Linked DNA regions of Schizosaccharomyces pombe. The gene in region 1 interacts genetically with each later gene. Each region holds a gene or a part of one and is shown in the gene's direction. Other genes may lie near its edges.

Region 1 (6,376 bases):
AGTCCCTATGTTTCAATTGAAAGTTGTAATTGTTGAAGAATGTTGCAAAACTTATGGAATATATCAGTTTCAATTAGTTTCATTTCATTAGAGTTGAATTTACTCAAAACATAATCTGAAACGTCCTCCCTATTCCTTGACTCACAACGTCCAATTCCCAATCCAATCCTGTAAAAACTCTTTGAATTAGTAATGAAATTAAATGTGTACCTTACTTCTTTTCCTAGGAATTCTTGACAAGAGCGAATCCCATTGTGTCCCCTAGCAATGTTAATAAGTATTGCTTTGGATATTACTTACCTGTGAGAGCCTCCGGGCAAACGAAGCTTGACTTTGCCTAAATCTAACTCCAATTCGTCATGCACAACTACATATACGATTTTGTCTAATGGCGAAACTTTGCGCACAAAATCATTAGATATCTTTTTCAACTGTTTCCCGGAATCATTCATGTATGAGGTGGACAAAACCAAGGTGAGATTTTCTTTGGTACTAGGCCAATTTTTTGGAAATGCCATGCTGTCAGCGTACATACTCACCATTAATTTCCCCAGTGAGTGTCTCGATTTGACGAACGCTGATCCTGGATTTCCTAAACCATAGATCTTTCGGATTAGTATCCCATTTTGGAAAGACTTTTACGGATCATAACAATTTTTATAGAAACTCTTCTTTTAAGGTCGCAATGGTTAACTTCTGCTTTGTTTTTCCTGGCAATTAAAATCTTAGGAAGATGTTTTATTGCCATACGGAACTTTGGTACTTATTTTAAAAAAAATTTTTTTTGATTGAAAAAAAGCTTTAGCATCCTCAACAGAATTTTCAACTTACCAAGAATTGTGTTTGCACCATGGACTTTTTTCTGAGAAAATTTTTATTTAGGCACAAGGTTTTATTAAGATTAATAAATACTTTCCAACTGATTGGTTTTGGCCTACTCTTTGGTATTTAGCACGGTTAGCTCCCCACGAAAATAATATTTTAGTTTAGATTAATAAAACAATGTTTCAAACTACGAAGAAACTTGGAAACCACCTATTTCATGTTTTAGCCATTTAATTATAAGGAGACTACTTATCTTAACTTTTAGTAACGTATTATTACGAAAATTAATAAAAAGTAATCAAAGTTATATGATGGAGGAGGTAATAATGCATTTTAATATAGGTATTGGCTAACTGGTATTCTAGGAGAGATTCAAAGCAGAGATTTTTCACGTTACACAAGAAGTTTGTAATCGTACAGCTTCTGAATTAACTGAATCAGAGTCAAGAAATGTCATTGTAGATGAGCTTTTTTGTGTTGGAGTTACCGAAATGGTTTGGGAACAAATACGTGTATTAGCTAAAGACATTGAGGCTTTTGCAGAGTACGCTCTTGATGGAAATAAATATTTTAATCTTATTAACAAAATAATAGACATGCAGGACGGAAAACGGTTCAACCACAGGATGTGCTTTTATGTTGTCGAAGAAATGAAGGATTATATGAGATTATCAATAATTTTCACAAAGAATCGATCAAATCTAAAAAGAAAAAGAAAGAAAACAGTACAACATAATGCACATCCATTGTGGGTACAGTGATTATAGCTCATTTTCAACGCTGTGTTATCGTTAATAACTTTCTATTACATAGATTGACCATTGTCAAGACTTATTATTAGTTCTTTTTTATTTAATGTTATTCTTTGTTGTAACAAATTTCCCCGTTTTTTGATATCTTAGTGTGCATCCCCGGCTATTCTTTCCTTCCCGTCGTAGTTCACTTCATCAATAGCAGCAGCACCACAATAAATAGTGCGAACAGTAATTCGAAGGGCTGGTCCCAAGGAATTCCACCTTTTGGAATTTAATTAATGGTAATAAATACTTTTTGTCACATTTAAAGACACAACTGCATGCAATTCGTTGTTAGATATGGCGGAACCTGATATCAGTTCTTCAGAGACATTGACAGAATTGCAACAACTCAGACTCCTATATTTTTTCTGCTTTTATCATGCTGCTCCATTCAATGTGAAAACTCTGGTTCATTCACTTATTCCACCTGGCGCTTTATCATATTTATTGTCGACGTATGATATTTTGCGTCCATGGTTGATGGCTTTACGAGTCAGGGAGGGTCCAGTCAACGATATATCTACAATTGTTCAATTGTATGAGGAAATTGTAAAAACTGGGTTCTTCATTAATCCCCCTCCATTCGAATCGTACTCACAGACATTAGTAGCTCGGATAACTACTTTGGGTCGCCCAAAGCTACAGGTGCAACAGGAAGCTCAATCTGAAGTTTATCAACGGGCTTCAACAAATACACAACAACAAGTCTCCAATGTATCTCATGGTAATTTCAAACCCAATTCTTCGGTAAATACAGAACCTAACACTTCAATTTTATCAAATTCTAAATATGCTGGTATTAAACCATTCGACTTTCAGAGTTCATCACAAAATCCTGGATTGGTTTGCGAACAAAAAACATTTTATCAGCATCAATTTCGTCCTTTTTCTAATCTCCCATCTAATAAGTCTAGCCCGGTTAAACACGTATCTCCAAATGTCAAAAATAATTCAAAGAAAACTGCTTCCTCAGTCAACTCTAATCATTCTTCTATTCCGTCTTCTATAACTAAGTCCAATATATCTTCTTTAGATGTGTATGGTTCAGAAAAGCTTATTTCCTCGGGAAGCCAACAGCCAGGGCATGGTATGGTGCAAACAACTTCCGATAAAGTTAACGCGTCAGCATCTCTTTATGACCGCTCACCTTCAAAAAAAGATATCACAAGTTCCCGTAATACGTCTTCTTATAATCTTGGAAGTATGCGAAACCCTTCAACCTTAAAAAATGCAGCTCATGCAAACCCTTTTGAAGGACTGCGTTTCCAAGGCTCTTCAGCAGTGCTTAAAGAGGGGCTTAACTCTACTGTTAAGAAAACATTTTTTGATAATTTAAACTCTGAAAAGGTGTGTCCATCTGTTTCTCCGTTTTTAACACCTGATAATATTGCATCCTCAATCCTATACTCTACAGCGTCTTTCTCTCGATCAAAACCTGATAGACCGAGACTTAATTTATCATTGGAGCTAAAGCTAATGCAAAACGAACTAAATAAAGGTCAATTGAAAAAACAATTCAAAGGCGATTTGCGTAACCTGGCCGATTGGAATAATCTTTCGTTAGTGTCCTCGAAGTTCCCTTCATTGCCAATTACTAACCTGCGACCGGATGGCTCTTTTTTGAAACATAGGCGGTTTAATGAAGAGATTGCTTACAACCGCCAAACTCTTGAAAAAGCTATAAAACAGCTAGACTTATCTCCTGATAAAGTCATTCAACTTCGTGAACAAAATGGTGTTGCAGTTAACGGACGTGTATGCTATCCTACGAGAAATAAACACTCGGAAATCTCTGCTCAATCAAGCTCTTCGTTAGGAGTTACTAAATCTCTGGCGTCGGAAGTGTATTCCTCTTCAACTGTCGACACCATTAGTAAACTTAATACTGATAAGGATAATTATTTGATTAAAAGCAAAAAGGAACCAATACAACAAAAATCTGTTAGCTCGGAAACTACTTTGGTGAAACCGTCATCAACTTCTTCCTACATTGACACAACTAACAATGTCTTGAAAACGAATTCTAGTTTTAAGTCGTCTGGTTTGACAAGTGGGCCTAGAAATGAAAAGGAATTATTGCCTGAGGGAATTCCGACATCTCATAATAATTCTGAAACTCAAGCTCAAACAGCTGACGTATCAAACATAGCAGCTTCCGCCGATGGAATATATAATTCTGATCAGGAAAAACCTCCTGAGAAGCTGGACGTTACAAAGAGAGCTTTTGGACGTGAAATAGAAAATTCGAATGAAAAAGAATTATTGACTAGCACATTTTTAAGTCCTTCTGCAGAATCTCAGGTTTGTCTTGCAGAAATAAAAACCATACGTCCGGGATTGGTTCCTAAAAAGCAGTTTTCTGTGGATCAAAATAATGTAATAAGTGACAATACGGACTGTTCGCTTCCTAAACCATCTAACTCTAAGCTCTCCAGTATTAGTAGCGATGGGGATGCTTCTAGCAATCGAATGGCTGTACCCGATAAGTCTCCTTTTGTTCATGCTGCACCAAATTCTAAAGCATTGACGAAGGATAGTTTTTCTACTCACATTAGCGTTTCATCTCTTCTTCATAGTGACAACGAGATTTCTCCTATCGATTCAACTCGTAAAGATTACTTTACTTCAAAGGACAGCAATCTTCAGACTCTTAAAGAAGATGCGTCTTCAACAAAACAGGCTAAAGATTCTGGTACTAATGATTTTGACAAACTGATATCTGGCAATGATGTATCTAAAAACAATTCTGGCGAAGAACAAAGCAGAAGCGCATTGAAGCCACTAATTTCTGGGAAACTATCAAGTTGTGAGTCGATCAACTTAACCAAGGATATTTCAACTGTTAAGCGCAAAGAGTATTTTGGAATTGAATCGACGTCCTCAAAACAACCTTTCCATGATACTGGTTCAATTAAAATCCCAGCAAAAAGATCTTTTGATACCATTGATAAAGATTTTAGAAGTTCTAATATTCCATTTGCCGACAAAATTAAAGAGGACGGTGGAGATAAAAATGTGATTTCCTCAATTCATATTACAACTGAGCTTCCTAAATCAATGCCCGTTGAAGTACCTACTAATGCTGGTGCTCAAAGCGATCAAAGCAATGTCGTTGACTCCGAGTCTTTGAATTTGCGTGAGAATATTTCTACGAGCGTTGCTGACGTGAGCCTTAGTCAAGCAGGGAACGAAGCAGTGCTTAGTAAAAAGGCTTGTAAACCGCTTGTGTTAATTGACCCCTTTGAGGAGAAAGTACTTAAAGCCTTTAACATGTTGAGTAAAGGTTATGCTGAATACCGTTGTCAATGGGAGGGTTGTTTAGCCAATCTTCATTCGTTGGAAAATTTTATAAAACACGTTTTATTGTTACATCATCCGAAAAGTTGTTCTGTGGTTAAATGCCTATGGGCTTCGTGTGATATGGTTTTGCCATCAGAAGAGTTTGAAATGCATTTGCGCGGCCATTTGAACAACATCCGGCTTAATTGTGAAGTTTCTAACTGTAAAAAGTGCTTTTCTAATTATGAAGATATGTTCAAACATTTGCAGCATTCACATTTACCTTTCAAGTTCACACCAGAGTCTTTCATTAAAATTCGAAATGGCAATGTCAAAGAAGAAGCACGTCGTACAAGAAATGCTTACACACAGAAGTCTGGTGAAGTAGAATGTTTTATGGAAACTTGTACACCGATAGCTAAACCTGCTCCTGCGAATTGGTATCCGGTTCCTCCACCTGGTTTTAACTCATCTTTACTTTCCAGACTAACCCAAAGCAATCAGTCTAAAGATAAAATTATAGCTGCTTTAGCTAAGAGGAATGTTTATAAATCATTTGCGGGTTTGTACGATAGTAAAGGTAAAAATGATAATACTGGGTACGATTTTGATTCAAATTATGCCCGGGTTGGTCGTCATGGTTCTTTTATTTTACCTGTCAGCAAAAGTGTCCCTACTCCATCCTTGCTAATCGAAGGGTCTATTGTGCAACGTAAAAATATAAAAATAGAATGATCCGTCTTTGTACGTTACAAGCGTGATCTCAACAATTATTTTCTTAATTATGGTTTAATCCAACTGGCGTGAATCTCTCTGAACAAACATCTTATGTCTTTTATTTATATAGTTATTGTATGTAAAGTAAATATAAAAAATTATTGATTGTCCTTAATTTACTGTACACGCGTCCCTTCAAGTACATACATATGGTTCGATTGCTTAACTGAAGTAACCGCCGCTAGGAACCATCATAAACTTTTATCATTTTTGGATTCATAAAACCATTATAACAGTGGCTAGTTAATGAAAATAATCAAATGTCTGGTTTTTGAAATAAATAAATTCACTTGAAAGCCCTTCCATTCGAAATTGAAGCACTTTTTATTCCAAGGCTTATTTTTCTCTTATTTAATCAGAACAAATGGCTAATTCAGGGCTTTGGGAACTTATAACAATAGGATCCGCAGTTCGAAATGTTGCCAAATCATATTTAAAGGCTGAAGCTTCGTCAATTACAGCAAAACAACTGTATGATGCATCGAAAATAACCAGTTCGAAAAGGTCCACAAGTGACCTGCACGTTCAATTATTGGAGAAATACAGAAACGGTAAAGTCAAACATGCTTCCCAAATAAAAGAATTGGGGTTATCTTCTAAAGATACGAAACGAACGCTTTTGGGAAATTCTTTAGATGTTCAGAAAGATGCCTCCGGTGTCAAACATTTGCAGGAGCAATCTTCTAAAGAAATAAAAA
Region 2 (4,302 bases), 2.1 Mb from region 1:
TTGCCTTTATAACGCGACAGCTAACCTTCATTTAGTCCATAAAGAGAAATACGTTAGGAGGAAAGAATAATCGAGGACTGGCAGTTTTGCAATCTTTAACAAGCCTTATTAATCGAGAACTTGAAGAAGCAGAATTTCGCGACGCTGCTCTCCTAGGTTGGCTAATTGAAATTGTAAGTAAACTGGTTTTTTAATTCAGATTTGTTTACGTAAAATCACTGGGGTACTGACGGATGTTCAGTTGCAAGGTTGCTTTTTAATGGCAGATGATATTATGGATCAGTCTATCAAACGACGTGGTTTAGATTGTTGGTATTTGGTAGTTGGTGTACGAAGGGCAATTAATGAGTCACAATTACTAGAAGCATGTATTCCACTTTTAATTCGAAAGTATTTCAGAAATATGCCATACTATGTCGATTTATTGGATACTTTCCGAGAGGTATGTTACAATAAATTCAACTAAAAAGCTTACTTTCAAGGTTACTTTTCTCACCGAGTTGGGGCAACAAGAAGATTTGCTTTCATCACGAGACGGAGAAGCCTCGTTACGATCTTTTGATTTAATGAAATATGACTTTATTATCACTTATAAAACATCATTTTATTCCTTTTACCTTCCTATTAAATGTGCTTTATTGTTGTCTCGCAATTCGAATCAAAAGGCGTATGATACGACTATAAAGCTTTCAAAACTTCTTGGTTATTATTTCCAAGTCCAAGATGACTACTTAGATTGTTTCGGTGATTACACGGTTTTGGGTAAAGTGGGAATGGACATACAAGACAATAAATGCACATGGCTAGTTTGTTATGCTGAAAAATTTGCCTCTGCGGATCAGCTGAATCTTCTTCGTGCTCATTATGGAAAAGCAGGGTCTGAAAACATAGCTGTAATAAAGCAGCTTTATCATGAGCTTCAAATACCTGAATTATATCACAAATTTGAAGATGACATGGTGGATTCTATATCCAAAGAAATTGATTTGATTGATGAATCTACTGGATTGAAAAAGTGTATATTTACTAAGTTTTTTCAGCTCATTTACAAAAGGTCACGGTAGCAGTCATTTCATTTTAAATAACCGTTATTATCTTCTTCCTTATTTAAAATTTATTATTTGATGACCTTCCAAATTCTTTATGATACTGATCGACGATTTGTATTTAGGGTTATTCTTAAGGTTTCATATCATTATAGCATTTATGGTTTTTTTCATTATTGTTAAAGATCTGCATTCAGAATTTACTTTTTTAATGATTATCTGGTTGATACATTACTCTACTTGGGAAACTAAGCAAGATTTAGATTATGTAGATGTAAACATTTGGTGAGTAGTATAATAATAACATCAAATGACATTGACGATCGTTGTTAATTGGATTGGTTATGAAAGAATTATTATATTGCTCATTTGAGAAAATGCAAAAACTGTCACTGAAAAAAACATACAGCACATTTTAATAGACATTCCAAGGTTAGTCCTTTTTGTTATAACAGTATTTTACTTAAATTGAACAATTAATCGTTACTTATTTAAGATCTTGAAACACTAGTTCGTGGATGGGAGAAATATTCAATAGAACCAGGCTGCTGCTTCAGCTTCTGACCACTCCATCATAGCAACAATTCTACGCGAAAGCGCTCCGAACCTAACATTTTTAATTGATAACATAAGGAAACTGTTTGCCTTATTAAATAATTGGGAAAGAAAATCCTATTTGAAACTATGGGGTTCGGGAAGAAAAAGGTTTCTTATTTCTATGATGGTACGTGTAAACTAGTAAGATCCTAGCTAATTTTTGAAATAGAGGATGTTGGAAATTATCACTATGGTCCTCAGCATCCAATGAAGCCTCATCGCGTTCGCATGGTATGATATAAAGCTATAACTATTTATCATCATTAACCTACTTAGGTTCATAATCTGGTCGTTAATTACAACTTGTATGAGAAGTTGAACGTTATTGTAAGTTCTATTTCTCCTTTTTATACTAATAAAGTATACAAGACACCTGTTAGAGCAACAAGGAATGACATGACTCGTTGTCATACCGATGAGTATATTGAATTTCTTTGGAGAGTTACACCTGACACGATGGAAAAATTTCAACCGCATCAGCTGAAATGTAAGATTTCATTTCGATTATTTATAAATAACCGTGATTTTAGTTAACGTCGGTGATGATTGTCCTGTTTTTGAGTATGTGCGTTTATCAAATTTTTTATACTAACAATTGTTTAGTGGGCTGTACGAATTTTGTTCAATTTCTGCTGGCGGTTCAATTGGTAAGATAAAAGTTTTTCCCAAAAAAGGGGCTTTGAAGCATCCGCTGAATTTGTGAATGGAGTATAGGACTTTAACTAACATTGGTTTAGGTGCTGCTCAAGAACTTAACTCGGGAAACGCAGAAATTGCTATTAAGTATGTTATTGAGGATTTTTTAGTACTTTGAAGATCAACTAACCACTTAATTAAGTTGGGCTGGAGGCCTACATCACGCTAAAAAACGTGAAGCTTCTGGTTTCTGCTATGTTAATGATATCGCGTTGGCTGCTTTAGAATTGCTGAAATATCATCAACGTGTTCTTTACATTGATATTGATGTTCACCACGGAGACGGTGTAGAAGAATTTTTCTACACTACGGATCGCGTTATGACTTGTTCATTCCACAAATTCGGTGAATATTTTCCAGGAACCGGTCATATCAAGGTATGCATGCGGCTTTATATTTGGATTTACTTTTCTAATATTTTAGGACACCGGAATTGGAACAGGAAAAAACTATGCTGTTAACGTTCCTTTGAGAGATGGTATTGACGATGAATCTTATGAAAGCGTATTTAAGCCTGTAAGTCTTTTTTATAAATTTCTTTGTTCTAACAATCTGAATTAGGTTATAAGTCACATAATGCAATGGTTTCGACCGGAAGCTGTTATTTTACAATGTGGAACAGATTCTCTCGCTGGTGATCGACTAGGCTGCTTCAATCTGTCAATGAAGGGTAAGTAACTACTGTTTCTCGTTTTTACTAATTCCCCTCAACAGGACATTCAATGTGCGTTGATTTTGTTAAGAGCTTTAATTTGCCAATGATATGCGTTGGAGGAGGTGGATATACTGTACGGAATGTTGCCCGTGTCTGGACTTATGAAACTGGTCTTTTAGCCGGCGAAGAGCTTGATGAAAGTAAGTACCAATACGTAAATTGTTTATTAACCCATCCAAGACCTTCCTTATAATGACTATTTACAATATTACGGTCCCGATTACAAGCTCAATGTTCTTTCAAACAATATGGAAAACCATAACACTCGGCAGTATCTTGATTCGATAACGTATGCTACCTTTTGAGTTTTATTCTTACGAGGCTGACCAAATTTAGCTCTGAAATCATCGAAAATTTGAGAAACTTATCTTTTGCACCTAGCGTTCAAATGCATAGTAAGTATAAGCGGTTATCGAAAAATGTGCTAACAAATACTCTTACATTAGAAACTCCCGGTGACTTTACGTTTGAAAATGCCGAAAAGCAGAACATTGCGAAAGAAGAGATTATGGATGAGCGCGTATAGACCTATATAAAATTTTGTATGTTCATGGTGTTTGAATCCATTATACTCGGTTTTTTTGTGTTATTTGAATCATGAATACTATAAAAGCTATTATGTTTAAATACCCTTATTTATAAGAATTCTCCAGCATAATTAGACTTCAGCATTAAATTGAAAATGCTCATTACATATAATAACAAACACTTTATATTCTATACTCTAGATGTGACTTGTGGTTTTAAAAAAAAAGGAATAGCCAAAAAATTAACGCACAAAGAAAGAAGAAACGGAAATCACAAGGTAGTAGTAATTATATGTCTATCCGAAGTAAAAGGTCAAAACAATTAAGGAAGTACAATATACTTCTTGTATTGTGGCTCAATTACATCAAATAATTTTTTACTTTCAAGGAATGAGCGACTGAATAAACGAGTGGCATACTTGTGACCAGAATCACAAAGAATTGTAACCACCGTCTTGCCAGGACCTAATATTTTAGCCATTTCAACAGCAGCGACCACATTTAAGCAAGAAGAGCCGCCCAAGAAAAGACCTTCTTGGTCTAACAAACGAAAGAACATGTTAATAGATTTTTCGTCAGGGATTTTCATAGCATCGTCAATGAGATCGTAAACAGGTTGGACATTTCCAGTAATACGACCTTGACCAATGCCTTCGGTAAATGAAGAACCCTTGTTGTCAGGATGCTTACCCTTCGTTTTGATATGGCTATACAAAACACT

Evidence for each region. Genes that interact genetically often act in the same process or in processes that back each other up.
Region 2: mutations in clr1 (region 1) and clr6 impair growth when combined (synthetic growth defect), as found in Schizosaccharomyces pombe (one study listed by BioGRID).

The regions. Positions count from the first base shown.
Region 1 is NC_003423.3:2,995,319-3,001,694, forward strand, and holds clr1 (SHREC complex intermodule linker subunit Clr1), read left to right. Parts: upstream 1-1,772; 5' UTR 1,773-1,919; coding exon 1,920-5,636; 3' UTR 5,637-5,818; downstream 5,819-6,376. Other genes in the region: peptidyl-tRNA hydrolase Pth1, read right to left, coding at 6-179, 216-261, 301-605, 653-748; protein mhf1, read left to right, coding at 1,134-1,145, 1,191-1,369, 1,420-1,561; ABC1 kinase family ubiquinone biosynthesis ATPase Coq8, read left to right, coding at 6,043-6,376. UniProt on the Schizosaccharomyces pombe protein: Regulates silencing of the mat2 and mat3 loci. Organizes the chromatin structure of the mating-type region where it also participates in establishing the 'cold spot' for recombination.
Region 2 is NC_003423.3:848,787-853,088, reverse strand, and holds clr6 (class 1 histone deacetylase Clr6), read left to right. Parts: upstream 1-1,612; 5' UTR 1,613-1,730; coding exon 1,731-1,770; exon of another isoform or gene 1,771-1,812; coding exon 1,813-1,874; exon of another isoform or gene 1,875-1,919; coding exon 1,920-1,970; exon of another isoform or gene 1,971-2,012; coding exon 2,013-2,130; exon of another isoform or gene 2,131-2,173; coding exon 2,174-2,204; exon of another isoform or gene 2,205-2,246; coding exon 2,247-2,290; exon of another isoform or gene 2,291-2,380; coding exon 2,381-2,426; exon of another isoform or gene 2,427-2,481; coding exon 2,482-2,716; exon of another isoform or gene 2,717-2,762; coding exon 2,763-2,855; exon of another isoform or gene 2,856-2,900; coding exon 2,901-3,009; exon of another isoform or gene 3,010-3,053; coding exon 3,054-3,194; exon of another isoform or gene 3,195-3,234; coding exon 3,235-3,343; exon of another isoform or gene 3,344-3,385; intron 3,386-3,390; coding exon 3,391-3,449; intron 3,450-3,500; coding exon 3,501-3,580; 3' UTR 3,581-3,744; downstream 3,745-4,302. Other genes in the region: spo9 (ER farnesyl pyrophosphate synthetase Erg20), read left to right, coding at 36-173, 242-442, 483-1,064; cys11 (cysteine synthase), read right to left, coding at 3,904-4,302. UniProt on the Schizosaccharomyces pombe protein: Responsible for the deacetylation of lysine residues on the N-terminal part of the core histones (H2A, H2B, H3 and H4).